Linked DNA regions of Sus scrofa. The protein of the gene in region 1 binds, or shares a complex with, the protein of each later gene. Links are inferred from orthologs where the notes say so. Each region holds a gene or a part of one and is shown on either strand. Other genes may lie near its edges. The genes, in order: MORF4L1, VPS72, PHF12, EPC1, SIN3B, ING3 and RUVBL1.

Region 1 (3,500 bases):
GTTTAGGGCTGTACCTGCAGCATATGAAAGTTCCCAGGCTAAGGATCAGATTGAAGCTGCAGCTGCCACCCTACATCCATTGCCACAGCAATGCAATTTCCCAGCTACATCTGCGATGGACGCTGCTGCTTGGGGCAACAACGGATCCTTAACCCACTGCAGGAAGCCAGGAATCAAACCTGTATCCTCATGGATACTGGTTGTGTTCTTAACCCACTGAGTCACAATGGGAATTCCATAAGCTGCATAGTATTTTGTTTTTGCTTTTGGTGCACTTTGTGTATTACTCCTTGGAAAAAGAATTTTTTAAATGGCACTAAATATTGGAGATCTTTATTAATATTTTTGTAGACATTGAGGAATATTAACAAGGATGTGGGGGGTTTTTTTGTAGTTGATTCACTATGTAGATAAATACATGTAATTTTGAAAATTGTGATCTTTAGTAAGCATTTAGAGAAGCCTTTACATAAACTCATACAGAAAGAAGGATGAGTTACTCAAATACACAGCAAGTGTGTTGTTAGTGCAGTGTACAAAGTGCTGTGGATCATTGTGACTTTGGGAGTTAATGACAAGCTCCTTTAGAAAATTCTGAAATTCTTTTTTGCTTTAGCAATATGTAAAACTTTGGAATGTTTGGCCTTCAGTTACTACCCTAATAGTGATGTTCCTCAGAGCAAAAGATGTTTCATTTTTCTGTAGTTCCCCAAGGGTTTTCAGCTCCTGACATGTGAAGGAAATTCTAAAATTGATGTGGTTTTTAGATCAAGGTCATTATTTAGATGCATTTTATATTGGAATTTGCAAGATTCTAAATGGAACCTTGTGGTAAATAAAAATTTGCTAGCTCCCTTTAATTTAGAATTGAAACAAATACAAATAGATACATAAATAAAAGTAAGATCCTCATTTTTTGTTCAATTCCTTTTAGAAAATTGTATAACTAAAGCCCAATCTCCAAATTGGAATGTTCTTAAACTTCAATAAATAGTATATACTTTCTCAGAAGCACAATAGGTAACATTTCTAAAAACTTTATTGGGGAGTTCGAGTTATGGCACAGTGGAAGCAATCTGACTAGGAACCATGAAGTTGAGGGTTCGATCCCTGGCCTTGATCAGTGGTTAAGGATCTGGCGTTGCCATGAACTATGGTGTAGGTCACAGATGCGGCTTGGATCTGGCGTTGCTGTGGCATAGGCCAGCAGCTGTAGCTCTCATTTGACCCCTAGCCTGGTAATCTCCATATACCACGGGTGTGGCCCTAAAAAGGGGAAAACTTTATTGGAATTCACTGACACAGACATTTAAATATTCCATTTATAAATAAATCTTAATAAAGTTTAAGCTAAATTCTACACCTAGTTACTGAGATTACTTTGTACTATGCTGTCTGTATCAGAAGTGCTGTGAGGCCCAGGCGCTCTGAAAAAACTTTGAAGAGACGTGAGGATATTGTAGCCCTTTTTCCTGTTCCTGAAGGAGCTCCCTCAGTACACCACCCCCTCCTGACCTCTAGGTAAATGCATGTTTTAAAGTTTTCTCAAGGAAATCATGTTGAGGGTTGCATTTTATTATTTATTCTACTTTTGGCTATCTTAGAGGTCAGAGGTGGGAAGTCATTAAGTAAAAAACTGAGAATACATCTAATAGTGTCAATAAAGGAGCTCCATCAGCAGGAGAAAAGAATCTGCACAAAAAGTTCAGCATTCCCTAAGAAATAACCTGGCCTTTGTTTTTCCCTTTGGAAAAAAAAATCACATCAGAGACCTTGCTTTGAACAAAGTCCTACTATATAGTACAGGTAATTGTATTCCGTATCCTGTGATAAGCTGTAATAGAAAAGATTATGAAAAAAAATGTGTATATATATATATATATATATATGTGTGTGTAACTGAATCACTCTGCTGTACAGTAGAAATTAACAACATCAACGATATGTCAATAAAATAAATATTTTAAAAATACCTTGTTTTGAAGTTCCTTGTGGCTCAGTAGGTTAAGAATTTAGTGTCGTCACTGCCGTGGTGCAGTTAAGATCCCTGGCCACATGCCCCAGGCGAGGCCTAAAAAAATTCCTGGGCCAGGGATTGAACCCAAACCTCCACAGCTACCCAAGCCGCTGCACTTGGGTTCTTAACCCACTGTGCCACAGTGGGAAGTCCTGAAGGAGCTTTTCCAAGTGACAGAATGCTTTAGCAACTAGATATTTTAAGAGAGTGGTTGGTTCTACCTTTTGTTATTTAGAAAGGCATTCTTGTGGCTATCTGTTGGAAGTAGGTGTATTCGTGAGTGAAGGTTTAAGATGATGTGGTTGGAGTTCCGTGTTGTGGAACAGTGGTTAACAAATCTGACTAGGAACCATGAGGTTGCAGGTTCGGTCCCTGCCCTTGCTCAGTGGGTTAACGATCCGGCATTGCCGTGAGCTGTGGTGTAGGCTGCAGACGCGGCTCGGGTCCCGTGTTGCTGTGGCTTTGGCGTAGGCTGGCAGCTACAGCTCCGATTCAACCCCTAGCCTGGGAACCTCCATGTGCCGCAGGAGCAGCCCAGGAAATGGCAAAAAGACAAAAAAAAAAAAAAGATGATGTGGTTTAATAACTATTTTAACACTTGGGGGAGGGGAGAGCATGTGGAAGTTCCTGGGCCACGGATCCAACCCAGGCTGCAATTAGCAGCCTGCACCACAACTGAGGCAATGCTGTATCCTTAACCTGCTGTGCCACAAGGGAACTTCCTGTAACACTTCAATATACAGTCTTAGCTGAGTTGATCTAGGTGGTATTAGAGTATTGTAGATACATGTGTCTGACATACCTTTGAGTGTTTATTTTTTGTGTCAAACTTTCAAGTGTTTTACATGTATAATTTTCATAATGATCCTATGAGATAGGTACTGTTACTCCTCATTTTATATGTAATGAAACTAAGACACAGAGAATTACATAACTTTGTAACAAAGTTAACCAGTTTTAGTTCTTTAATTTATTTTTTATTTATTTTTTTATTTTTTGTCTTTTTTGCCATTTCTTGGGCCGCTCCCACGGCATATGGAGGTTCCCAGGCTAGGGGTCGAATTGGAGCTGTAGCTGCCGGCCTACGCCAGAGCCACAGCAACGCAGGATCCGAGCCGCGTCTGCAACCTATACCACAGCTCACGGCAACGCCGGATTGTTAACCCACTGAGCAAGGGCAGGGACCGAACCCGCAACCTCCTGGTTCCTAGTTGGATTCGTTAACTACTGCGCCATGATGGGAACTCCTAGTTCTTTAATTTAAAGTCAGCTTATTATGGATTCCTGTGCCTTATTTTTTTGAAATTAAAATTCATTTATTTATTTATTGGCCACCCCTGCAGCATGTGAAAGTTCCCAGGCCAGGGATGGAACCCAAGTCACAGCAGTAATCTGAGCTTCTGCAGTAAGAGCACTGGATCTTTAGCCTGCTGCACCACAAGGAAATTCAACATTCTTTTTGATATCTTTATACTGTAAGGAT
Region 2 (4,150 bases), on another chromosome or scaffold:
TGGGCAGATCAAACAGCAGGAACAAAGGTGTAGAAGCAGGAATGCGTATAGCATGATTAGGGAATAAGGATTTGGACCTAAGTAAAGCAGGTTATCTCTGGCAAGAAGTTGTCCTAGCTGATTGTCTTTGGCGCTAGCACAGACAGCCTCCTTCCAACATTAACTGACTGCCCTGTAGGGCTACAAGATTAGAAAAGAAGGAAGTTGCCTCGGGGCCCAATGGGTCACGTTAGCTTTGCTGTGAGTTGTGATGTAGGCTGCAGACCAGGCTCAGATCTGGCGTTGCTATGGCTGTGGAGCAGGCTGGCAGCTACAGCTCGGATTCAACAGCTAGCCTGGGAACGTGCATATGCTGCAGGTGCAGCCTTAAAAAGGCAAAAAAAAGAAGAAAAAAAATCACTTGGAGGCGAAGGAGTTAATTGGGTGGGGCAGAACTTCAAACATGTGGCTTTCTCTTCAATCAATGATGAGACTAACGGGCTAATCTTGGTATACACACTGCCAAAACAAGCAAATAACAGACAGTTGACACTCCAAGCCTGTCAGCTTCAGTCTTGCACTGATGACCATCATTTCCTCCCAACTGATGTTTGTGAAAGACAGCCTGGGAACATGTTAATCCCCTTAGCTCTGACCCTACTAAGTCATATCACCAGAGGTAGCAGTTCAACTACACATTAGCTTAATGCCCAATTGAAATGCTTTCACTAAGTTATGGACTTACTACCATTCCTTTGGCTTTTATCAAGGGTCATTAATAGACATGACTAATCAAGAGACTGTTTTTACATCATCTACCAAACCCCTGTTACTTTATATATAAGGACGCAATTCTCCCTAGGATTTAATGTTGAATAAGTTTGTCTCTCTTAAAGAACTTGTATGCTTCTTTCCTACTGAAAAAAGAAATTCAGGGTTTGGCTGCCAGGAAGCTCACAGCTAAATTTAAAATCAATTGCTACTACCATTTTAGCTGAGGCTCTTGGTACAATTACTTCTGATCTGTCTCTATTTTTACTGTTCCTACTTTTTGTTTATATCGTAAGCCTCCTTAAATCCTTTTTGGAAGAAGGAAGGGTACATATTAAATAACAACTCGTAAAATGACAGGAATAGGAAAATGGCCTTTGGAGGAGGGATGGGAAAGTTCTATTTTAAACTACTTGCTTAGGGGGTTGTTGTGATGATTCCTAATCAGTCACCAAGTCCTGTGGATTCTATTTCTCCTTAATTTCTCCTGAACCCTCCTGATCATGTTTCTCTACTCCCGCTGCCTTCTTCAAATCCACAATACAGAGTGATCTTTATAAAGTACAAATCTGATCATAAAACTATGACAAATATTCTCAGTCCTCTGGATGAAGAGCAAAACTCCTTAACATGGCTCACAAGCCCTCCATGATCTGGCCCACGCCTACTCCCTCCAGCCTGACCAACCTTTATTCTCCTTCATGGTCTGGATAATGACAGTAGATATGCAGGTCCCTGACAAGGATCTCAGCGTTTTTATACATCTCTGCCCCACCCCCTCGCTGGACCAACCCTCCTCCTTCCCCTGCTCCTACTCCTACCACTATTCAGCCAGCCAAGGCCACTTTTCATATGGTCCTCAGCTTATCCTGATGCCTATCCCAAACAACTTTGGCTCCATGTGGAATTTAAACTGACTTAATTCAGCTAGTTCCCCCACTGGAATCTGGAATATGTCAGAACAAAATGGTGGGGTCTGTTTTTTGGTTTGTTTTCTTTTTGGCTGCGCTGGAGCCATGTGCAACTTCCCCACCAGGGACTGAACTGGTGCCAAAGGAGGTGACCCAAGCGGCAGCAGTGACACCATGCCCTTAACTGGCTGAGCCACAGAGGAACTCCCCAAAGTGGTGTTTTTAATACTCTGTTTCCCTAAAGCCTATCACAGTTCTTGGCTTGCTCTATGCGTTTAATATATTTGATGAACGGTTAGATTCAATCAATATAAAATTTAACAAGTGCCAACCCAATGAGGACACTGGACCAGGCATTGGACATGTGTACTGTTAAACAAAACAGATTATCTCTAACCTTAAAGCGCTTACAATCTGATAGAAAAGTATAAACAAGCCAGCAAAAGCTATTACAAATCGAAATAGGTTCTACGAAAGATATATAGGGAGAAACTTCTTAGCACAATCAAGGAAAGGCTATTTACCCAAGAGACATTTACACCGAGATCTGAAAGCTGAAAAAGGAGTATGCTAAGTGCCTCTATTTTTTCTTGAGAGAGATTTCTTTTCTATACTTGAGATGAATAACCAGGCAGTGGGCCAACGAGCATACACCGCGTGACTACGATGTGCTGTATGCTAGACGTCAGAAGTGCAATGAGAGATGCAGCTGGGGAAGTACACAGCAGGTTTCAGCCATCCAGGACTCTCCCTTCCAGGACTCCAGTTTATCCTCCAGTCTCGCCCACCCCATCTCGAGTATCAGCTACCAAGGATCCTCTCTTCCCCCACCCCCTTCTTTGTCCGAGGTTTCTCCCTTCAGGACTCCTTTCAGCTTCCTTCCCTCCCTCTTCCTGGGCCCGGCTCTTGCCTCAGTGAAACCCCCATAAGTCGTCTGGTAGAACTCATCTTCCTCCTCTGCCTCCAGGAGACCAGAAAGCCGGTTCCCTGCGGTCTTCCGGGGGGCCCGGCCCCCAGCCAAACTCATAGTGCCTACTCAGACTGCGCCACCACCAGCAACCCCTCACACAGCGCGGTCCTCAAGGATCGGCTCTCGACACCACTACCTGCGGGCGGCATGCGACGGCGGAAGCCGGTCATCTACAGGCAGAAGTAGCAGAGCGTCGAGAGATTCCTAGTCCCGCCCCCGAAATCTTCTCACGGCTTCAGCCCCGCCCACGCCTGCGCAGAGACTACCCCAAGCTCCCCGCCCCAGTTCCGGCGCCCATCTGGGCTGTGAAATACTTCGATTTGGTGACCCCCAGAAACCCCGCTACACTGAGTGCAGAAATCGGGAGCCAAGAAATTTTCATTTAGAAGAGGTCAGTCTCCCTCTGCTCCAGTTCGTTTTCCACTCTGCTGCCAGTAGGAACCTTTCTAAAAACCCAGATTTTGTCACACTTTTGCTCAAAAATCTTTAATGGCTCCTTCCTTGTCGACTTACAGGGTAAAGTCCAAATGTTTTTTAAATTTAGTTTTTAGTTTATATTGGATTATAGTTGATTTTCAATGTTGTGTTAATTTCAGGTGTACAGAAAAGTGATTCAGTTATACATATACCCATTCGTCTTTTTAAGTAAGTTGTTTTTTTTTTTTTTTTTGTCTTTTTGCGGTTTCTTGGGCCACTCCCGTGGCATATGGAGGTTCCCAGGCTAGGGGTCGAATCGGAGCCGTAGCTGCAGGCCTACGCCAGAGCCGCAGCAACGCGGATCCCAGCCGCTTCTGCAACCTACACCACAGCTCAGGGTAACGCCGGATCCTTAACCCACTGAACAAGGCCAGGGATCAAACTCGCAACTTCATGGTTCCCAGTCAGACTCGTTAACCACTGAGCCACAATGGGAACTCCTTAAGTAAAATTAAAAAAAAAAAAAAAAAATTCCCCCTTTTTCGGCAACCCGCATGACATGCAGAAGTTCCAGGACTAGGGATCAAATCCAAGCCAGAGCTTCGACCTACACAAAGCAACTTCTGATTATCTATTTTATTTTATTATTTTCTTTTCTTTCTTTCTTTCTTTTTAGGGCTGCACCCGCTGCATATCGAGGTTCCCAGGCTGGGGGTTGAATCAGCTACAGCTGCTGCCCTACACCACAGCCACAGCAATGCAGGATCTGAGCTGCATCTGTGACCTACACCACAGCTTAACCCACTGAGTGAGGCCAGCGATTGAACCCGAGTCCTCATGGATTCTAGCCGGGTTCGTTAACCGCTGAGCCAAGACGGGAACTCCTGATGTTTGTCCTTCTCTGCCTGAAAGTCCAAAATTCTTGTGGCGGAATAGTAGCATGGCTGAGAGCTGAGTTGTAGAGCCAGCCAGACCTGAGTTTGAGTTTGAGTTTAAGGTCTTCTAGCTGTGTGACTTTGGACAAGTTGTTTTGCCTCCCTGAATTTTAATCTTCTCATCTGTAAAGTGACACTAATAAGAATACCTACACTTTTAGGTGGTT
Region 3 (3,500 bases), on another chromosome or scaffold:
TCCCTGTGAATATTTCGGAGGACTCTGATCTCTATTATTTGTCCTCCACACCGCCCCCCCCGCCCCAATTCTGTGATAGAAGAGAAAGTACATGTTAACTTGTCCCTGTTTTATAGGCAGGACTGCGTAGGCTCTGAAAGCTAAAGTGGTAATTGCGTAAGGTGGCCTGCCAAGTCAGAGCAGGATTATAAAGACAGCCTGGGTCTCCTGACTCCACCTTTCCACCCCTTCCAGACTTAGTCTCCTGCCTGTTTGGTTCCATCACCTTAGAGGAAAGCAGCATGCTCTCTGGAGCCCTGCGCTCAGCCTGTGGTTCTGGGCTATGGCCTCAGTGCTTCTTGACCCACACCTGATCCAGATCCTCGGCACTGGCTCATTTTGAAGGAATTTCCATGTCAGGGAAATTAGGGATATAAAATAACACTGCCTTTGAGGGTACGCAGAGTGGGATGCCCACAGAGATTGGTCTGGCCCAAATGTTTGCCCTCAGGCCACATGCCAAAAGGCAGTCCCTTTATCCATAACTGGCCTGGTATGGACCCGCTCTTTCAGCTGTCCCCAGTCAGCATTCAGGACCTCAAGGTTGCTGATGCCAGCATCTGAACCAGGTTTCAGATGCTGCTGGAACCCCCTGTGGTCTCTCCCGACTGAACTGAAGCTGGCCTCCTAGTCAGCTGGGAGTCTCGGTAACCAGGTGACTGTGACTTCTCTGCATGGGGGCCCCTGGTCCCAGGATGGCCCCTACTCTCAGGCTCTTTTCCTGTTTCTCTGTCAACACCAACCTAGGTAGATTTTGCACCCCGTGAGTTCTGCTTCAGTACCCAGGAATTGCGGAGGCAGGCATCACTTATTTGAGTGAGTAGAGGCAGCAGGGAGGTAGTCATGGCCCAGAGAATGAAGCTGTCCCACCATGTTCCCCAGAGCAGTAGGTTTCACTGGTTCTTGGTGCTCTGGAGACTCCTGCGTGCCCGGGTGCATTGTCGTTCCACCTGCCCTTCCTCACCACACGTTTTTAGCTCTAGGAGTTCCAGAGCCTATGGGGTGAGAATCAAGAAGGGAACATCACCTTGGGTCCGAAATCCAGACCTATCTCGGCAGTGGGGGATTGGACCGGTGGGTTTCCCTGAGGCGACGTAAGTAACAGTCTTCCTGCTCCGTCCCCAGATGGCAAGGTCAGCCCCGGCACGTTATCCATAGGAAGCGCTTTAACCGTACCCTCTTTCCCAGCCAACTCTACTGCCATGGTGGACCTCACCAACTCACTTCGAGCATTTATGGATGTCAATGGAGGTGAGTGAGCGAGCTGCTGCTCCACCACCAGCTGCCATGGTGAAGGTGCTGCCCCTGTGCAGCATTCAGCTCATTGAAAAGGGCCAGAGGGCTGTGGGGTCTCAGAGGGCTGGGCGGTGGGATAGGAAAGAAAGCCCCTTGAGTTTCTGCCTTGTGCACATGCATACACACATAATCAGAGCCAAGTGGAACCAGTGAGAAGAGAAGAAAGGCATTTTAGGCAGATCACTTGGGCTTGAAGAATAAGACCAGGAGGAGCCTCACCCCCAAAATAGGGACCTCATCTGTGAGAAACCCGCGAAATCAGGGAGAACCGGGCAGGCCAGGATCACTATGAACAGTGGGAGGGTGGAAACTCCACGCCTCTGTATCAGACATCTGGGCCCTCCCCACGGGCAGGCAAGTGCTCTGTCTTCACCTTTCTAGGGCCACTTTACCTCACTGGGGAGGTGTCTGCACAGGCCGTGTTAGGGCCTCGCATTGCACATGCCTAGTGAGATGCTCGGCTCCAGATCTTTGTACCGCTTTGTACTCTGGTTTGGGAAACATCATTTGGCTTAATTTTAGGATTGCTGAAATATTTGCTGTCTGACCCTCACCTCCTTCCACCTTCCATTTCCTCCTCAGCTGCTTTTTTTTAATCTTTTTCTTTGGTTAATAGAAATCGAGATAAATATGCTGGATGAGAAGCTGATCAAGTTTCTGGCCTTGCAGAGAATACATCAGCTTTTCCCCTCCCGGGTCCAAGCTTCACCGGGCAGTGTCGGGGCACATCCGCTGGCTTCTGGAGGCCACCACACAGAAGGTGCGTGTGCCCACATCTGCCACCACAGCCCACCGTTAGAGCTCCCCTCTGCATGTGTGAACAGCCGTCTCCCCTCCGTGGGGAATCTCAGCTTTCAGTCTTCCCGTCCTCCCTGTCTGCCTTTACTGGGCTTAATGAAGCACCATGGTTTCTTTTCTCAGAAAGCAGAAAAAAGATGGCAGCCACAGCTTTCAGATCAGACTCGGGAAAGTCTGCTGTGACTCTTTCATACACATCCACTTGGGGACACAGAAAGCAGCTATGAGTGCCTTTGGGTATATGTGGTGTGTTTTCTGCTCAATTCCTTTCAAGTATTTGAATTAGAAGGGTTTCCCAAAAGGTACTTTTTCAAGTTTAAGGTTAGAAACAATAACAGTTGGGCTAGCCTCCTGGAAATTCTTCCCAAAAGGTTAACTCTGCTTAGGGTATCTTCTTGAGGATTAGCCATTAAAAGCCTTGCTGTTTAGAAGTGTGGTCCTCGGACCAGTAGCATCAGCATCACCTAAGAGCTTGTTAGAATTGCAGAGCTCAGGCTGCACCTCACGCCTATGGAATCAGAATCTACGCAGGGTCCCTAGGTGATTCATATTTAAACTGAGAGAAACATTGGTCTGTGCTTTCTGGGTTTTTTTGCACAACCTTCCTATAGTATCTGTTGTAATATCTCTGATAAACCACCCAACAGCCCAAGAGCTCCCAGTATTATCGTCCTTGAATTATATGGCCATCTTCAAAAATGGTCCTTCTTATTACCCCATGTGGGAAATGCTGTAAGTGGGGAGAGAAAGCCTCCCCCTGAAACAGCACAGTGTCAGATGTGTGTTTGGAGAGATGATTCATGCAATGGGATTATCTTCTCCAGACCATGAGCCAGAGGTCCAGGTCCTTTTGGTTTGTGTTTGAGCACAGGTTCTGTTGATGCGTGTTTGGGTCCCAGGTTCTGTTTCTGAATGATCACATCCCTGTGTTTGCCTTGTAGTGCAGAGAAGGGAGGTACAGGCCCGAGCTGTGTTCTACCCCCTCTTAGGGTTGGGAGGAGCTGTGAACATGTGCTATCGAACCCTCTACATCGGGACAGGTGAGCTTAAAGATGGATACCTTCACCCATAGAGGCTAGAAGGGAGGAGGGAGGCACCCTTCAGGGCTCACTGGTTTAACCAGCAGGTGTCTGGACAGGGACCAAGAAAGGTAACTCTCAGCTGTTTGTCTTCCCTGCCTCAGGTCCTTTTGCCTTGTGCCCAGTATGGCATCTGGAGAGCTGAAAGTCAGTTCTGACTGCTGCTCAGTGAGGCATTCTATCTTTTTTTTTTTTTTTTTTTTTTTAAGGGCCACACCCACGGAATATGGGATTGAATTGGAGCCATAGCCTCTGGCTTACACCACAGCCACAGCAACACCAGATCCA
Region 4 (4,205 bases), on another chromosome or scaffold:
TTGCCGAACCTATTAAGCCTATCCCCAAAGTCTCTGGTTTTTAAAATATTCTGCTGGAAAGAGCGCTCTGGATATTCATTTTCGTGTGCGGTAGAAACCAAGCGATAGCCATCAAGTCCATCTAAATCCCTTCTAATAGTACAGTTTTTCTTTCTAATTTTTTAAAATGTATTTTTTGGTTTGGCAGGAGCATTATAGGTCTTCCTATAATTTTATAAAGTTTCTCAGAGAACAGATGATAAATATCAACCCATGGCTACACTGAAGCAGCATTTTCTTCCAGTACAGAAAAATCACCTGACTCTAAAATTTGTGTTTGTGCACACACACGAGTGCTTGAGCTATATGGTAGGTCCTTCTTTATTTATTTTATATATAGTAGTATGTATTATGTCACTCCCCAATTTCTAATGTATCCCTTCCCCTCACCTTTTCCCTTTGGTAAGTTTGTTTTCTATGTGTGAACCTGTTTCTGTTTTGTAAATAAGTTCATTTGTATCTTTTTTTTAAGATTCCACATATAAGTGGTATCCTGTATTAGTCCTTCTCTGACTTACTTTACTCAGTATGATCATCTCTAGGTCCATCCATGTTGCTGCAGATGGCATTAGTGTGTTCCTTTTTTATGGCTGAGCAATATTCCATCGTGTATATGTACCACATCTTCCTTATCCGTTCCTGTCTGTGGATGTTTAGGTTGATTCTTGGCTATTGCGAATAGTGTTACAATGAACATTGGGGTGCATGTGTCTTTTTGAATTGGAATTTTGTTCGGATATATGCCCAGGAGTGGGATTGCTGTATCATTGGGTTGGCTCTAAAATTTTGACGTAGGTCTTGCTTTAATTTTTTTCCTGAAGGTTACGGTGTCCGATAATAATTATTTCCTTTGCTTCAGTGACAATAAGAGAGTGACTATGGGTCGATAAAATGCAAGATTAAAAAAGAAACAAAACACTAAACCCTACTTTGGAGCAGCTAGGACGCCTGCTTATACTGAGCCCAGTGATGGGAACTGACCCGTGATCTGATGCGAGCCCATCAAATACAATTCAGAGTTTCCTTAGACGCAAACATAATGGCTGGTAAAAGTTCACCCGAAGTGGCGTTGCGCCCTGAGCGTCCTTTGCATTTTCCTTCCGAGGCCTCAACGCGCCGGCTGGCGGGGCTTGGGCGCCCGCTCACCCAGGACCCGGCCGCCGGCGGTGACAGGTGCCATCCCGACCCCGCGCCGCCCGCCGCCGCCGCCTCGCGGAGCTTCCCTGCACCCTGGCCTGTCAGCAAACGGCGCCGCGCGGGAGCGAGCGCGGGCCGGCGGGCGCGCGGGCCGGCGAAGCCGCAGCCGGCCCCCGGCGTCCGGGCGCCCGGCCCGTCCGCCCGCGGCCGCGGGGGCGGGGGCCGAGCCGCCGGGCGCGGGGAGCAGGGCCGGGCGCCGGGGGTTGGCGGGACGCGCGCTCCGTGCCGGCGCCCGGCCTCGAGCCCGCGCCCCCCCCGCGTGCCCGCGCCGCTGCGCGATGCAGTGTGGGGAATGGCTGGGGTTGGCTGAAGAGCGCACAGTGGAGTTTTAATGTCCGCCATGTTGGCCATGGCGTATTGAGGAGAGCGAGCGAGCGAGGAGCGGAGCGGCTCGGCCTCCCACCTCCCGGCTGCTTCGAGTGCCCGGACGGCGGGCTCCGCGCTCCGCCCCTCCAGTCCCCGGCAGCGGCGGGCGAGTGGGGACCGAACCCCCGGTTCTCCATGATCCCGCTGGCCGGGGCCGTTTCCCCAGAGCGGAGAGGTATCTGCTGCGCCTGAGATGAGTAAACTGTCGTTTCGGGCGCGGGCGCTAGACGCCTCGAAGCCGCTGCCGGTTTTCCGCTGTGAGGATCTGCCCGACCTGCACGAGTACGCCTCGATAAACCGGGCCGTGCCGCAGATGCCCACCGGGATGGAGAAGGAAGAGGAGTCGGTACGTGTTAACTCCCCTGTCCGACCCGCCGCCAGGCCCCGCTCCCTCCGCTGCCTGCGGCGGCGGCGGAGCACAGACCCACACAAAATGGCCGCCATCTTCTCGCCGCCGCCGACTCCCGGCGCCGGCCGGGCCCTTACCCCGCCGCCCCCGGCCTCGACCCCCGGCCGCCGCGGCCCGGCGGGGCCTCCTTTCGGGCCACCCGCCGACCCCGGCCCCTTGGACCCGGGCCCCGCGCAGTTCGGGCGCCCGAAAGGCACAAAGGGGTCACGTGACAAGGCTGCCGGCAGCCATTTTGTGGTCGGAGCGCTTGGGCTGGGCCTGGTGCATCCGGAGAGGGAGCGGGCCGGGCGGCGGGGGTGCAGCGGCGGGCCCGCCTGCAGCCCTCTCCGCGGGCCGCTGGGTGGCGCTCTGGGGCCGGCTCGGCCTCCGCGCGCCGCCGGCGCCGGGAGCGCTGGTTCCGGGCGCGCCGGGGCACTGCTCGCCCGGCTGCCTGCGATCCGGTCCGGCGGTGCGGCCCCACGTGGAGCCCCGGCGGCCGGGCAGGGGGCGGCGGGACTGCGGGCCGCGGGAGGTCCCGGTCTGCGGGCGGCTGGGATCGGACTCCTCCTCTCCGTCCTCTTTCGGGACTTTTGCATCCACTTCTCCCGACTTCCAGTTAGTCGGAGGGTGGGTGGTGAACTACTTCTGTTCCCGACTTTTGCTTTGATCCTGGAGAATACGTTGCAGATCTGGGGCGTGTTGGTGGCTTTTCTGAAAGCCCGTAACTTTATTATTACTTGTTTCCCCGAATCAAACCTATTTCCGCCTGATTGCTGGTTGCTCAACCTAGAGGAGAAAAGACCGCATTTAAAGAAGATGTCCTAGATTTGAATTTAGAAGGTGGGCTCTTATTCGTAACCGAACAAAAGTTAAGTGATTTCCTGCACCGAAGTCTTAACAGGGAGATGTCTTAATCTGGGTGGGTGTCTCTATCTTAAGTGTTTTGCATCATACAGACATTTTAATCGTAGCCGTGGCTTTCCCTTGTCGTGGAAGTTGGGCTCAGACACAGGGATAATAGAAAAAGCCTCTCCTTTGCCCCAGATCCTTGACAGTGTAACTTGCTGACTTGTAATCCTGAGGAATTGCATACCTTGGTTTTCAGGTACAGCCATTTTAACAGGGTGCAGTGTATTGACAGTTCAAGGAAGTGGAGGAGTCCCTGGATTTGTGCTACAGATTGGTTTTGGAAAATTGCCTTGTATTACCTCCATTTGGTACTGTAAGAATTTTAAATGTGGAAATTATTCTCTGTAACGATGACTTTGAAAATAAAGCTGTTTAAACTGTTTGGGTTGTTTAACCTTTTAAAGTCAAATAGTTGTGACGGTCGAGTGTTACTTTTGAGAGTAGATGCATTTATTAGCTTCTGTAGCAGTTGTAGCAGCACCAGCGCGGTGCTGACTTTGAGAAGGAACCTCTTAATTTATTTTACCTGTATCAACTTTAGAGTAGAATGGTGCCATTTGTTGACTTTTAAATAAGTGACTTGTTTTTAAAAATTAAAGTACTTGTGATTGCAGAATCTTGTCTTTTGGTTTTATTTTTGTTTCTGTTGATAAGTTTTACAGATACTCCTTTCAAGTTGGGGTGTCAATATTAACACTGCCCTGGAAATTCATTTGTAGTTTTTGTTTTGCAGGCGAGGAAGGGGAGAGACTTGATAAAAGCAGGTAGCACTATAGTATACTGAGAAATTTAGTTCAGTCTTGCTTCTGTGGATACTTTGGACTGTCCCAGGAGCCACAACCTGAAGTCAAGAACAGAGCTCAACCGAAGTATCAATGTTTATTAAATTTGACAGATAATTCTTGTTCACTGCAGTCATTCTCACGTTTTATAGCACAGTGGACATCATTCCCTTGTAACACGTGTAGTCTGTTTTTAAGGGATTTTTTCCCCTTCAGACTACCTTTTGCCATCATCTCTTTAGAATCAGTTTCACTTCACGGCCAACCAAAACTAAGACCAGTGAAACACAGACCTCAGGAATAGATAGCTGAATAGAAGAGTGTAAGCAGTCCCAGGTGAACAGCTGCTTTGCAGTCCTGAGGTTCAGCCTGGTAGGAAGAGGGGAAGAAGAGGCGGTACAGATCATAGTGTTGAATGTAATTCATAAATACTGAAAATGTGTGTGCTAAGCACAAATAAAAAGTAGTTGAGCTCTGAGTTAGCCTTAGAAAAACAAACTTTTTGATTATTTTTGGCTGAAAAA
Region 5 (4,148 bases), on another chromosome or scaffold:
TTACACCAGTGGTTCTCAACGCAGTAATTTTGCCCGCAGGAGACACTTGGCTATGTCTGGAGACATTTTTAGCTGTCTTGACTGGGTGGGGATCTAGTGGGTGGAGGCCAGGGACACTGCTAAACACTCCATGATGCCCTGGACAACACCCCCACAGCAAAGTGTTATGCCTTACACGGCAACAGGGTCGAGGAGAGAAAAAGACAATGGTTACCTTAGAAAAGTAAAGCTCAAACAGGCTTTTTCTCAGGGAGTCTGGTGAGCTCAAGCAAGGAGGGACTGCAGAGACAGAAGAGGCAGCAAGCTGTCATTTAAGAAAGAAGGGACCAAAGCCACAAGCCTGAGCTCAGTCAATGATCCTGTCAGCAGGTAAATGAAGCACAGCAACAAAAATGGCTAGTCACACATGCACCTCTGCTGCTTTTATTTTGTGGGTGGCACTGAGGGTGATCAGAAGGGGCCACAGGCCCAAGTACAAGTGAGGCCTGCCTAAGGCACTCAGAGGAAGAACCTCCAACCAAGACTTCAGTGACTGTGGACACAATTATCTTGACTGGACATAAAACTGTGTTAGAAGAATGCCTCCCTGGCACGCACAAACACATCCACTCCTGATTTAAATCTGCCAAAAGGATCAATTTGGGATGCAGAGCCTGCCTGGGTAGGTGTTTTGATCTATTTTGATTTGCGTTAGAAGCATTTCAGGAAAAAGACCAGATCTTCACCACCTTTCTAGCAATGAAGTACACGAGACACGCTGCCCGGCCTGCGTACCAGGGTGGGCTGTGCTAAGGTCAGATCATTCAAACCACGGCAGCCGCATACCTGGCTCGACAGAGGCGACTGTATGTTTAACTTGCCATTCTTGGGAATGTCTATTCTGTAGCCGAGAGGAAGGAAAGCGTTGAATCCGACAATGAGGTCAGGGTGTTCGTGGAATAGCTGTGACACTCGCCGGATGACTCCTGGAGTATCGATACTAGAACAAAGAAGAACAAGAGTGGGCAGAGGCGTCCTGGGGAGCAGATTAAAAGAGAAATCTACTCGTGACTCCCTTAACCGTGCCATGTCACAAGCTTCTCAACGGACAAAGAACCAACCACCCTAAAATGTGACTGGAGTGATTCTGCTGGTGGTGATCCGCTGCTAAGGCAGCCAGGCCTGGGCTCCCAGTGCCTTCCTGGCAAAATCCACAGAATATGTACACAGCACGGCTCCCAAAACACTGCAAGCACATGTGCTAGGTTCTGAAAATGTCAGGAGAGCCAATTTTAAATTGTGGGCTCCAAGAAGTGACATGTCAAAACCCTCTAAAGGGGAGATAAATTCCTCCATTTCGCATGAATTAGAGATGGACTATGACACTGGAGTTGTTCCCAGCAACTGACTATAATGCAAAGGCCATGCAAGTATGGAAGTGGCATAAGAATCGGAGGGCAGAGATGGGGTCTCCCTCAGGGCTGCAGTCAGGGCCAAGGCTTTAGCCTTGTGCCTGTGGAAGGCAACCAGGTGGGCCCTACCCTGTTTCCTTAGAGGGAGAAGCAGCACGGAGGGGATGTGACACTGGCGAATCTAAGTCAGACAGAACCAGTTCTGGTCCCGCCTCTGCCCCTAAGGTGGGTCTGGACAACCCCTTGACCCACTCTAAGCCTCAATGAGCATCCTTTCCAACAAGAGCACCATCGGGAGGGAGGTCTCCCATCTATCTCTAACCCTCCTGATTCAGTGCCTGTGAAAACAGCTAACATGTTTTAAATGCCTTCTTAGTGCCAGATTCCTTACTAAGCATTTTGTGCGCATTACTTCAAGTAGGCCTGGGACTGGAGTGAAGGGAGTGAGGAACTCACCTTGGGGATAAGATTTAAGAGGGACACAGTGCCAATACGGTCGATAACCAAAATTAATAACATTTTCATGCACTGCTTGATCAAAAGATAAAAATTAACTTTTAAAAAGCCTCGAAAAATGAAATTCACTTAAAAATCAACATTTTGAGTAAAGACGGGATCCTACCCTGTGTTTGCTCACTTGCCTCACCCCATCCCTGCCCTCGGTCCAGGAATCCCCACAACAGGGCCACGGCGGGGCGGGTGAAGGGGGGGGGGTCCCTCCCGGGGGGTCCCTCCCGTCCCAGTTTTTTTTTTTTTTTAAGAAGGAACTGAGGATCCGCTAAGTTCTGACCACCTGGGCAAGGTCACCCCGTCATGGGGCAGCCAGGGTAAGGGGCTCCCACCCAGCTCAGGCTGACTGCGGCCCAGGACGGTCCCCTGGGGTGGGCAGGGGCCCGGCAGGTACCTCTGGCTTTTGAATTCCTTCATGATCTCCAGGAAGCCGTTGTAAGTGGCAGGGTCGCTGCCGAAACGGATCTTCACCTGGTCCAGGTAGGTGAGGGCGTCCTCCACCTGCGGGGAGGGGAAAGTCCAGGTGGGCCGCGGTCTGCGGAGGAGGGGGCGGGGGACCCTGGCGGGAGGGGCAACCGGCTGGGCCTCAAGGAGCGGAGGTGGGGAGTCGGGGGTCTGGGGCTGCGCGGAGAGGAGGCCGAGGCGGGGCCGGGGCCGGGCGGGGCTTGGGTGGGGGGCGCCGGCCTGCGGGAACTGGACGACGGGGTGCTCGAGGGAGAGCTGGGGCGCCACTCACGTGCACTGGCAGCTTCTCATGGCCCGCAGAGCCCGAGCGACCCCAGCGGGCCCCGCTCAGCCCCCGGCCCGCTGGGCCGCCGCCGCCGCCACCGCCAGCGTGCGCCATGTTGGAAGTCGGAGCCACAGCCCGCCCCGCCCCCGCCCGGGGGCCGGCCGCGCATGCGCTGGCTCCGCCCTGAAGGCGGGGCTCTTTCAAGGACTCTGCGGTAGGATCTTACCCCATAAAACTGAAACGCGACTGTCCTGACATATACCACTGTGAGCAAACCAAAACCTGCCGCCTGCTTCTGTCTGGCCCCCAAAGCAAGATCGGAATAATTTTTACAATTTTAAAAGTTGGAAGAAAAATCCAAGGGAGAAGACTATTCCGTGACACGTGAAAATTCTATGAAATTTAAATTTCAGTGTCTGCAAAAATAAAGTTTTATTGGAACATAGGCATGCCCACTTGTTTACCTGTCATCTCTGGCTAATTTTGCAGTACAACAGCGGGGTGAATAACTGCGACAGACGCTAAGATCTACACAGCCTGATATATAATAAAATGTTCTTGACTCGTACTTGTAGGGTTGATGTGACAACCTGGTATGGGCACACAGCACCCTAGTTCAGGGCCACGGGGTTTGCCAAATTGCTCTTGACTTAGTCCTGTTCCTCCTCTCTTCGCTTCTCTAGTCCTGACCCCATGACTTCCCCACTGGAGCCTTTGGTTCCTGACCCTATCACTTCCCCACTGGACCCTCCCACTGGTTCGGGAGCCTCTTAACCAGTTTTTCCAGCCCCAGTGCTATCAAGAACTATCATTCCATAGCTGCTTCCAAACCTCCAAGGTCTTCCTATTTCTTTTTCTTTTTTTGTCTTTTGTCTTTTTAGGGCCGCACCCGCAGCATAGGGAGGTTCCCAGGCTAGGGGTCTAATTGGAGCTGCAGCTGCTGGCCTACGCCAGAGTCACAGCAATGCCAGATCCAAGCCGCGTCTGTGACCTACACCACAGCTCATGGCAACACCAGCTCCTTACCCACTGAGCAAGGCTAGGGATCAAACCCACAACCTCATGTTCGGATTCATTAACCACTGAGCCACAATGGGAACTCCAGTATCTTTTTTTTCAATGTGTGAAGAGGTGCAGGAAAGCTGAGAATACATTGGCAACAAGTGCATCATTTGCCAGGGGTCAGGAGTAGAAGGGTGAACAAAACCGACCAGGCTTTTACACTCACAGAGCCATCAGCCTTTCAAGAGGATTGGAATCAAATAATCACATACATAGATGTAAAGCTCACTTGTAACAAATACTTCAGAGAGAACATACAAATATAATAGTTATTGGGAATTCCTGTCATGGCACAGTGGAAATGAATCCAACTAGGAACCATGAGGTTTTGGGTTCGATCCCTGGCCTCACTCAGTGGGTTAAGGATCTGGCATTGCTGTGAGCTGTGGTGTAGGTCACAGATGCAGCTTGGATCTTGAGTTGCTAAGGCTGTGGTGTAGGTTGGCAGTTGTAGC
Region 6 (3,500 bases), on another chromosome or scaffold:
TTCTGAAATCAATTCAAAGATCTCTAGGTTAGTGAGAAAACAATTTTGCCACCTTAACGAAGGGCAGTAGTATTACAATAAAACCATTTTGACCAAGCTCTTTGTGGAAAGGAGTTTGCTTACTAAAAACCCCTTTTGTCTCAACCCTTTACATAAATGTTTACAAGCATAATGGTTCACTTTCCTGCCTTAGAGAAACGTATGTATGGAATATAGGAGCCTCTTTGTTTGTAGACTGAGGATCTTTTCATTCCTTATTTTAAATAACAGTTACTATGGTCTGGCAGTGTGGATAGCCTTGTTATAAGTAGGAGATTAGGCTGAAAGTAACCCCAGGGTATACTGTGAAAAGTTACTAACCCCCTCATCTCTCGGATCAGTTACATCTTACGTCTTTCAGACATTTTTTAACAAATTGCAATTCTGGTTTCTTAAAATTTATTCAAGGAGACGTGGGAGATATTTATCCTAGCACCCTCATTTTGTAGATTAAAAACCTGCAGTATAGGTTAATTGAGTTGCTCAGGGATGCAAAAGCACATTCACTAAAAGAAATAGAAATTTAGATTTCCTCATTAAACTGACACTTTAATAGTGTCCCAAATTGTGGTGGTTATCTTTGATCTTCTTTGAAACAGGTAGATCGACACTTGAGAAAGCTGGATCAGGAACTGGCTAAGTTTAAAATGGAGCTGGAAGCTGATAATGCTGGAATTACAGAAATATTAGAGAGGCGTAAGTAAAATTTACAGTTTTCCATCACCGTTGGACAGTACATGTGCACGTCGTTGAGGAGACTCACGTCCCACAGAGACTTTTCCATCTGCTCTTTGGTGAACAGTGGCACCTGGGTGGTATAGCTTGGTCCCCAGCAGTCGGACTGTTTGGGTCATGGATACTTGGAGAGATGATGCAGTATATCAACCACTCACTTTTCCTGAAAATAAAGCCTTAGGTCATTCCATTTGTTAATACGCGTATATGCTAGTTAGAAGAGTGGTAAGAACAAAGATTTAAAGAAATATAACCGTCTAGAAGCAGGGTAGCCATCTGTCGTTAGATGTTGTGACTTTGCCCTGCCTGTTTATGCACCTAAGTATTGAGGAAGGTTGTTATTTTTTCTTAAGAACTGCCTTAAAAAGCTTTTCCTCCACTGTGTTACTCAGATTTTAAAGAGTTCTTCAACACTTCCTCCTTTTCTCAAAAAAGTCTTTTCTAAACTTTCTCTTATCAGTAAGAAGCCATTTTAATATTTCATTGCAAGCCTTGTCTTGATCTCCCGCTATAATTTACCTTTATCACTTCTTGGGTTTAACTCAGGAGACTTCCCTAAAATGGAGACATGAGCTCTGTTTCTTTAACTAATTTAGCATCACTTCCGACCTAAATGGATAATGTCCATCAAATCAGATAGTGTGGTGGCAAGCCCAGTGTAGGCACTCACTAAATGTTAGTTGAATCAAATCAGCATTATGGCTGATTTCTACTAGAATTTAAAGGGTTCGAATATCTCTTTTCTTGGTGCGTTTCAATAGCAAGAACATGTACCTATTTCTACACACAGGTGAAAGGTTTCTTTACGGTGCTAGGTTATATATCCCTGTTTATGTATTCACTAGAAGTCAGCTAGGGAAGCAACCGGATATGAATGTACCCACAGTTGCATTTTTGTATTCAAAAATAAGCCCATCACTTTAGATGACCATCTAATTTATTGTGATGTTTTTATTCCAGGGGAACCCTTACCAAGAATAATAGCTATTTTGAGACAAAATAAAATATTTTATTTTTCTGAAATGCCAATAATAATTGTGAGTAACAGTAATCCATGGCTATTCAGTACTGCAGGAAGGTTAATGAAGCATCCTCTGTAAGGACACAGACATATGAAACTAAATCAAATCAAGTTAAAAAATGGCTCCACCCTGCGCCCTGCCATGATTTCATCTCAAGGGATCTAGATAAACCCAGAAAATTTCTTCAAAAGTATTTTAAAGCTTGGCGGTAAAGATTTTATGCATCATTTTTCATGAGCAAAATCCCTTCTTTTAGAAAGTCTTTGCTATCGTATGTCATTTTAATGATCAGAGAATTTTCTTTCATACAGTGATGTCCCATTGCCTAATACTTTAGGATCTCCTATTAAAAGGTCTTCAATAACACTATGTTGAGTTTTTCAGTTCTTATCAGTAATGGAATCATGATACTCATTCATCCACTTACATGGTCCCAAATGTCATGAATTCCCTAATTAGACATTAGCGTGCCTTGACCTATTTTGTACTTAAGGTGAGCACTGAAAAATGGATTACTTACTGTTTAGAAAGAGGATGAGGTTGGCTCAGGGTGAAATTGGCGGTGGTGACCCTCTAATGTGTTTGGCTAAAATAATACAGACACAGGCATCAGAGCTTGCCAGACATCTCCTGGTTAAGGGTACCCAGTGCCTGTAGTTGATTGACACATAAAGTTCTCTGCTGCGATCTCATGGCCCTGTATCTCTGTGCCTCCCTGTTTTTTTAGGATCTCTGGAATTAGATACGCCTTCACAGCCCGTGAACAATCACCATGCTCATTCACATACGCCAGTGGAAAGTAAGTTTGATTTAGGGCAGCTAAAATTATTTTAAAGACAGTTGAAAATTCATTGTATTACCTATATGTTCTCTTTCATTACCTCTACACGACTGATTGAGAAACAAATATCCTCCCCTTTTATTTTGTGAGATATGTTTTTTCATGCAATTACTGGTGGATTTATCTTCTTCATTTGGGAAGAGCAGATGTGATTTGGGAACAGGTAGCCTGTTTTCCCTGGGATTCACAGAGGGCGATGTGTGGTACTAATAGCAGCATATACTCACTGCATATCGATACCTGCTTCTCTCCAGGGAGCATTATAACTGAGCAGAACAGTAAACTCCACAATTATGGGCTCTTTATCTTTTTCATCCTTGCTTCTCTAGTGCTTACCTTACTGTCTGGCATATAGTAAATTCTCAAATAGTTTGGTGAGTTAGTGAGTGAATGAATGGTCTGTCAGATGCTAGCTGGCTAGATGACTGTATCGGTGCATTTTTTTGCTATGAAAGAAAGGTTGATGGAAGACTATTTTAAATTGTAGAAAATGTTTTGAAAACAAAATTCCCCACATGTTATATGTTAAACCATGTGCATCACGGGTTATCTTCAGTACATTGCTACAAAAAAGTTTTTTTAGTGTCTACTCCAAAAAAGTTTATTGTCTACGCAGTCTGCTCTTAGGAACACGTGTGAGACAGGATTCTGTTTGTCTTGTCTTCTAGGAAAACATAATGTTCTGTATTCCATGAGGAACTCAGGTCATTACTATATTGGCTTATGACCAGATGAAAGTATTATGCCTTTTCCATTGTTCTCTAAAATTTAAAAACACATAAATTCTTTATTTATATTCAGAAAGGAAATATAATCCAACTTCTCACCATACAACAACAGATCATATACCTGAAAAGAAGTTT
Region 7 (3,500 bases), on another chromosome or scaffold:
GCTATAGCTGCCAGCCTATGCCATAGCCACAGCAACTAAGGATCTGAGCCATGTCTGTGACCTACACCACAGCTCATAGCAACACCAGATCCTTAACCCACTGAGCGAAGCCAGGGATCAAACCCACAACCTCATGGTTACTAGTCAGGTTCGTTACCCACTGGGCCACAATGGGGACTCCACCCAAACAGGACTTTTTAAAAAAGAAACACATGGCCAAAGCAGAATTAAATAACTGGGAGTTCCCGCTGTGGTGCAACTGGATTGGTGGCATCTTGGGAGCACTGGGACCCAGGTTCAATCCCCTGCCCGCATGGTGGGTTAAGAATTGGGTGTCACCACAGCTGTAGTATAGGTCACAACTGATCTGATCCCTGGCTTGGGAACTTCATATGCCATGGGGTGGCCTAAAAAGAAAAAAATTAAATAACTAAAAATTAAATGTAGTTTTTAAAGGATATTTTGTTTAGTATGAAGATTGAAGGTATACCAAATACTCAGATTTGAATCATGATGAAATTTTATCTCTTTAATTCTTCCTTATTATTTTTAGAAATGTTTGTTGGTGAAGATTTGTTTTCTCTAAAGTTATCTTAATATTTGTGTTTGTTATTAGTCTACTTCTCTTTTTATTTGGAAAGGTCTTAGTTATTAATGTTACAATTATTAATGTATAATTTTATTCTTTTTTTGAATTGTTTTTGTTGTGACAAAATGTGTATAACATAGAGTTTGCCACTTTAATTTTTTTTTGTCTTTTTTTTAGGGCCACACATGTGGCATATGGAAGTTCTCAGGCTAGGGGTCAAATCTGAGCTGTAGCTGCCATCCTCCACCACAGCCATAGCAATGCCAGATCCAACCCATGTCTGCGACCTACACCACAGCTCATGGCAATGCCAGATCCTTAACCCACTGAGCGAGGCCAGGGATCCAACTCTCGTCCTCATGGATGCTAATAGGGTACATTACGGCTGAGCCATAATGGGAACTCCCCATTTTAATTATTTTTAAGTGTAAAATTCAGTGGCATTAATCACATTCACAGTGTTGTACAGCCCCATCACCATCATCTGGAAGAGTTTCCAGGACTTTTCCACCATCCCAAACCAGAAGCTTTGTCCCCATTTAAGCAGTAAGTCCCATTTTCCTTTCCCTGAGCCCCTGGCAAACCTCTGATCTACTCTGCCCTGTGCATTTGCCTTTTCTGCATATTTCCTATAGGTGGAATCATGCAGTGTCTGCCTGTCCATGACTGGCTTCTTTCACTTACCATAACCTTTTCAAGGTTCGTACTGTTGTAGCCTGGGTCAGGATAGCATTTTATTTTTGCGATAATAAATACAAGTTTGTACTTGAACTGACTGGATAGAATTTCAACAGATTTCTTTTACCGAAGTTATATTTCTAGAATGTTTACTTACATTTGAAACTGAGTACTCCAATATTAAAAGTTAACCCCAAGTGACCTGCTTTTGTTCTTTGTTATATTGATGAGTTGTGACCATGGACACAAATCAAGTGGGGAGGCCAGAACTGCTGCTCTGGCTCCTGAAGGCAGAAGCTGGAGCCCTGGCTCAGCTCATTGGGCTTCCAGATGTGGTGGAAGCATGGCCTGTGTGCCACTGGGGCCTGCCTGGCACATGTCCCATCCAGAACTGGTGCCATGTGGCCTGGCAGGTTGGCAGGCATCTTCTCCTGGGCTGTTCTCTGGCTTGGCTAAGGATTCAAGAAAAAGCTAGGTAAATGACATGATTGGACAGTTCCTCAAAAGAAATGAAATAACGAATGAATACATGGGAAATATTCAAATGAGTCTTTAGTAATCAAGGAAATACAGATTCAGACAATGTGTTACCTTTCCATTTTCTAAATCTTTAAGCAGCAAACTAAGGATTAGAATACTCACTGTTGACTACAGTGTGGTGGGATCAGCTTACTCGAGTAGCTGCATAAATTAGGACATTGGTTTATTCATTCATTTGTCCAAGAAGATACTCGGGGTTGTGTCAGGCTCCACGAGAGTTGCTAAGGAAATTTTCATGGCTAAATGTATAAAATTATTTATCAAAGCACCATGAATAGTAGCAGTAACAAATGGAAACTGCCCAGATGCCCAGCACTTTGGTGGACACTTGATGGGTTATTAAGAGACTGAAGTAACATGGACAAAGGCATCAACGACAACAAAAGTCTATGTATTTAATGTACTTTATGAAAATTTGGCAAATACCTATATGGATATTTTGAATATGATTTTCAGTAGCTTTTTCTCCTCCTCCCCAAGTGTCCTGTGGTGTTGATATTTGGTAAAATATTGAAGTTGTTTTTGACGCCACCTGAGTTAGTCTGTGCCCTTTGCGGTCCTGCCTCTGACTCTCAGGACAGGAACTAGCTGCTTTGTCATCTTGAGTGCCTCAGCCATGGTTCCAGGGCCTGTTTCCACTCCCAGGCCTGAGTGATGTGGTCTTTCTGGGCTTTGCAGGGGAACGGAGGACATCACCTCTCCTCACGGCATCCCTCTTGACCTCCTGGACCGAGTGATGATCATCCGGACCATGCTGTACACCCCACAGGAGATGAAACAGGTGAGCAGCCTCCCTCCTTCACTCTCAGTGTCCCTGATGCTGAGGAGGAAAGTGCCTGCAGAGTAGCCTTGGCTACCCCACCTCCCACCACAGAGTTGGCTACACAGTAGGTCTCAGTGCTTCGGAGCCTTGGCCCCCATCTGAGCAATGGCTGGGCTTGAAGTGCCTATGGTCTTGGCTGTTCTCGCTTCTATTCTGTCCCTTCTGGTAAACAGGAAATGGACAGTGAGAAAATCAACTTGATGACAGCTATTAGGGAGACCACCAGCTTTAGGAAAGAGGCATTAGAATATCAGATTGTGATAGCCTCCAGCCCAGAGCCTGTCCACAGCCTTTTCTGCCCAGGGGCAAAGCCAGGCATTCTGGTCCACTGGAACCCATGGCAGGTCAGCTCTGGAAGGTACAGAACCTGAATCCTGGCAAAGCCCATCTGCTGTGACAGGGTCACAGTGGAGGGTTTCCTGGGGCTGCTGCTGAAGCCCTAGGGGTGTAGTGAAGCAGCCTCATAGGCGTAGAGGGCAGGTGGAATGGAAGGCATAAAACTAACCTTACAGTAAGAGACGTGAAGGAGGCACACAGCACTTAGCTCAGTGCCCGGCATAGTGCATGCTCAGTTCTGCATGAGTTCAACTTGGGTTGGGCTTCACAGTGGGAGATGACAGGGATGCCTGAGATTGGCCTTATCCCAAGGGGCACAGTCCCAATTCTCCCTGCACACTCACCTCTTGCTTGATCTGGAGATGGAGCAGCAACTGTGCCACACAGTGCCTCAGCACCCTGGGAATCCCCAGTCCCCTTCTGGTGCTTCCAGCCAGTTATTTGCCATTTTAATTGCTGAGTCACTGAGTCTAAGACACAAAGCCAGGTTGTACCCTGCTGAGCCCAGCCATCTGCTCTGCCCACCCTCACCCC

What was found.
Region 2: MORF4L1 (region 1) and VPS72 share a complex: the UniProt entries of both Homo sapiens proteins name them as parts of the nuA4 histone acetyltransferase complex. The link is inferred for Sus scrofa from reciprocal best matches to the Homo sapiens genes MORF4L1 and VPS72.
Region 3: the proteins of MORF4L1 (region 1) and PHF12 are in contact, whole or in part, in a cryo-EM structure (PDB 8BPA), measured with the Homo sapiens proteins. The link is inferred for Sus scrofa from reciprocal best matches to the Homo sapiens genes MORF4L1 and PHF12. Residues at the interface, in NP_996670.1 of Homo sapiens: Glu201, Lys204, Pro205, Leu207, Val208, Asp209, Trp211, Asp212, Tyr251, Ala252, Glu255, Val256, Gly259, Ile260, Glu262, Tyr263, Val266, Met267, Thr270, Gln271, Leu272, Leu273, Tyr274, Lys275, Arg278, Pro279, Tyr281, Ala282, Leu285, Arg304; in NP_001028733.1 of Homo sapiens: Cys62, Glu64, Gln81, Cys82, Asn84, Pro86, Pro204, Leu206, Arg207, Arg208, Pro209, Phe210, Leu212, Leu213, Ile214, Ala216, Ala217, Arg220, Asn221, Pro222, Thr223, Gln224, Phe225, Gln226, Leu227, Pro228, Glu230, Leu231, Thr232, Thr330.
Region 4: MORF4L1 (region 1) and EPC1 share a complex: the UniProt entries of both Homo sapiens proteins name them as parts of the nuA4 histone acetyltransferase complex. The link is inferred for Sus scrofa from reciprocal best matches to the Homo sapiens genes MORF4L1 and EPC1.
Region 5: the proteins of MORF4L1 (region 1) and SIN3B are in contact, whole or in part, in a cryo-EM structure (PDB 8BPA), measured with the Homo sapiens proteins. The link is inferred for Sus scrofa from reciprocal best matches to the Homo sapiens genes MORF4L1 and SIN3B. Residues at the interface, in NP_996670.1 of Homo sapiens: Gln217, Gln219, Tyr222, Ser348, Tyr350, Glu351, Val352, Ala353, Pro354, Pro355, Tyr357, His358; in NP_056075.1 of Homo sapiens: Cys394, Arg396, Arg402, Ala403, Pro405, Lys406, Thr407, Tyr408, Ser462, Phe463, Pro464.
Region 6: MORF4L1 (region 1) and ING3 share a complex: the UniProt entries of both Homo sapiens proteins name them as parts of the nuA4 histone acetyltransferase complex. The link is inferred for Sus scrofa from reciprocal best matches to the Homo sapiens genes MORF4L1 and ING3.
Region 7: MORF4L1 (region 1) and RUVBL1 share a complex: the UniProt entries of both Homo sapiens proteins name them as parts of the nuA4 histone acetyltransferase complex. The link is inferred for Sus scrofa from reciprocal best matches to the Homo sapiens genes MORF4L1 and RUVBL1.

What each region holds. Positions count from the first base shown.
Region 1 is NC_010449.5:48,060,111-48,063,610, forward strand, and holds part of MORF4L1 (mortality factor 4-like protein 1), read left to right. Parts: intron 1-1,404; coding exon 1,405-1,521; intron 1,522-3,500. UniProt on the Homo sapiens protein: Component of the NuA4 histone acetyltransferase (HAT) complex which is involved in transcriptional activation of select genes principally by acetylation of nucleosomal histones H4 and H2A.
Region 2 is NC_010446.5:98,060,911-98,065,060, reverse strand, and holds the start of VPS72 (vacuolar protein sorting-associated protein 72 homolog), read right to left. Parts: upstream 2,801-4,150; 5' UTR 2,689-2,800; coding exon 2,572-2,688; intron 1-2,571. UniProt on the Homo sapiens protein: Deposition-and-exchange histone chaperone specific for H2AZ1, specifically chaperones H2AZ1 and deposits it into nucleosomes.
Region 3 is NC_010454.4:45,133,256-45,136,755, reverse strand, and holds part of PHF12 (PHD finger protein 12), read left to right. Parts: intron 1-608; coding exon of another isoform or gene 609-670; exon of another isoform or gene 671-1,010; intron 1,011-1,016; exon of another isoform or gene 1,017-1,164; coding exon 1,165-1,290; intron 1,291-1,951; coding exon 1,952-2,095; intron 2,096-3,074; coding exon 3,075-3,173; intron 3,174-3,500.
Region 4 is NC_010452.4:42,913,223-42,917,427, reverse strand, and holds the start of EPC1 (enhancer of polycomb homolog 1), read left to right. Parts: upstream 1-1,405; 5' UTR 1,406-1,795; coding exon 1,796-1,948; intron 1,949-4,205. UniProt on the Homo sapiens protein: Component of the NuA4 histone acetyltransferase (HAT) complex, a multiprotein complex involved in transcriptional activation of select genes principally by acetylation of nucleosomal histones H4 and H2A.
Region 5 is NC_010444.4:60,788,861-60,793,008, forward strand, and holds the start of SIN3B (paired amphipathic helix protein Sin3b), read right to left. Parts: upstream 2,801-4,148; 5' UTR 2,746-2,800; coding exon 2,638-2,745; intron 2,403-2,637; coding exon 2,296-2,402; intron 980-2,295; coding exon 826-979; intron 280-825; exon of another isoform or gene 215-279; intron 1-214.
Region 6 is NC_010460.4:25,956,000-25,959,499, reverse strand, and holds part of ING3 (inhibitor of growth protein 3), read left to right. Parts: intron 1-638; coding exon 639-735; intron 736-2,523; coding exon 2,524-2,595; intron 2,596-3,438; coding exon 3,439-3,500. UniProt on the Homo sapiens protein: Component of the NuA4 histone acetyltransferase (HAT) complex which is involved in transcriptional activation of select genes principally by acetylation of nucleosomal histones H4 and H2A.
Region 7 is NC_010455.5:72,238,381-72,241,880, forward strand, and holds part of RUVBL1 (ruvB-like 1), read left to right. Parts: intron 1-2,485; coding exon 2,486-2,588; intron 2,589-3,500. UniProt on the Homo sapiens protein: Possesses single-stranded DNA-stimulated ATPase and ATP-dependent DNA helicase (3' to 5') activity; hexamerization is thought to be critical for ATP hydrolysis and adjacent subunits in the ring-like structure contribute to the ATPase activity.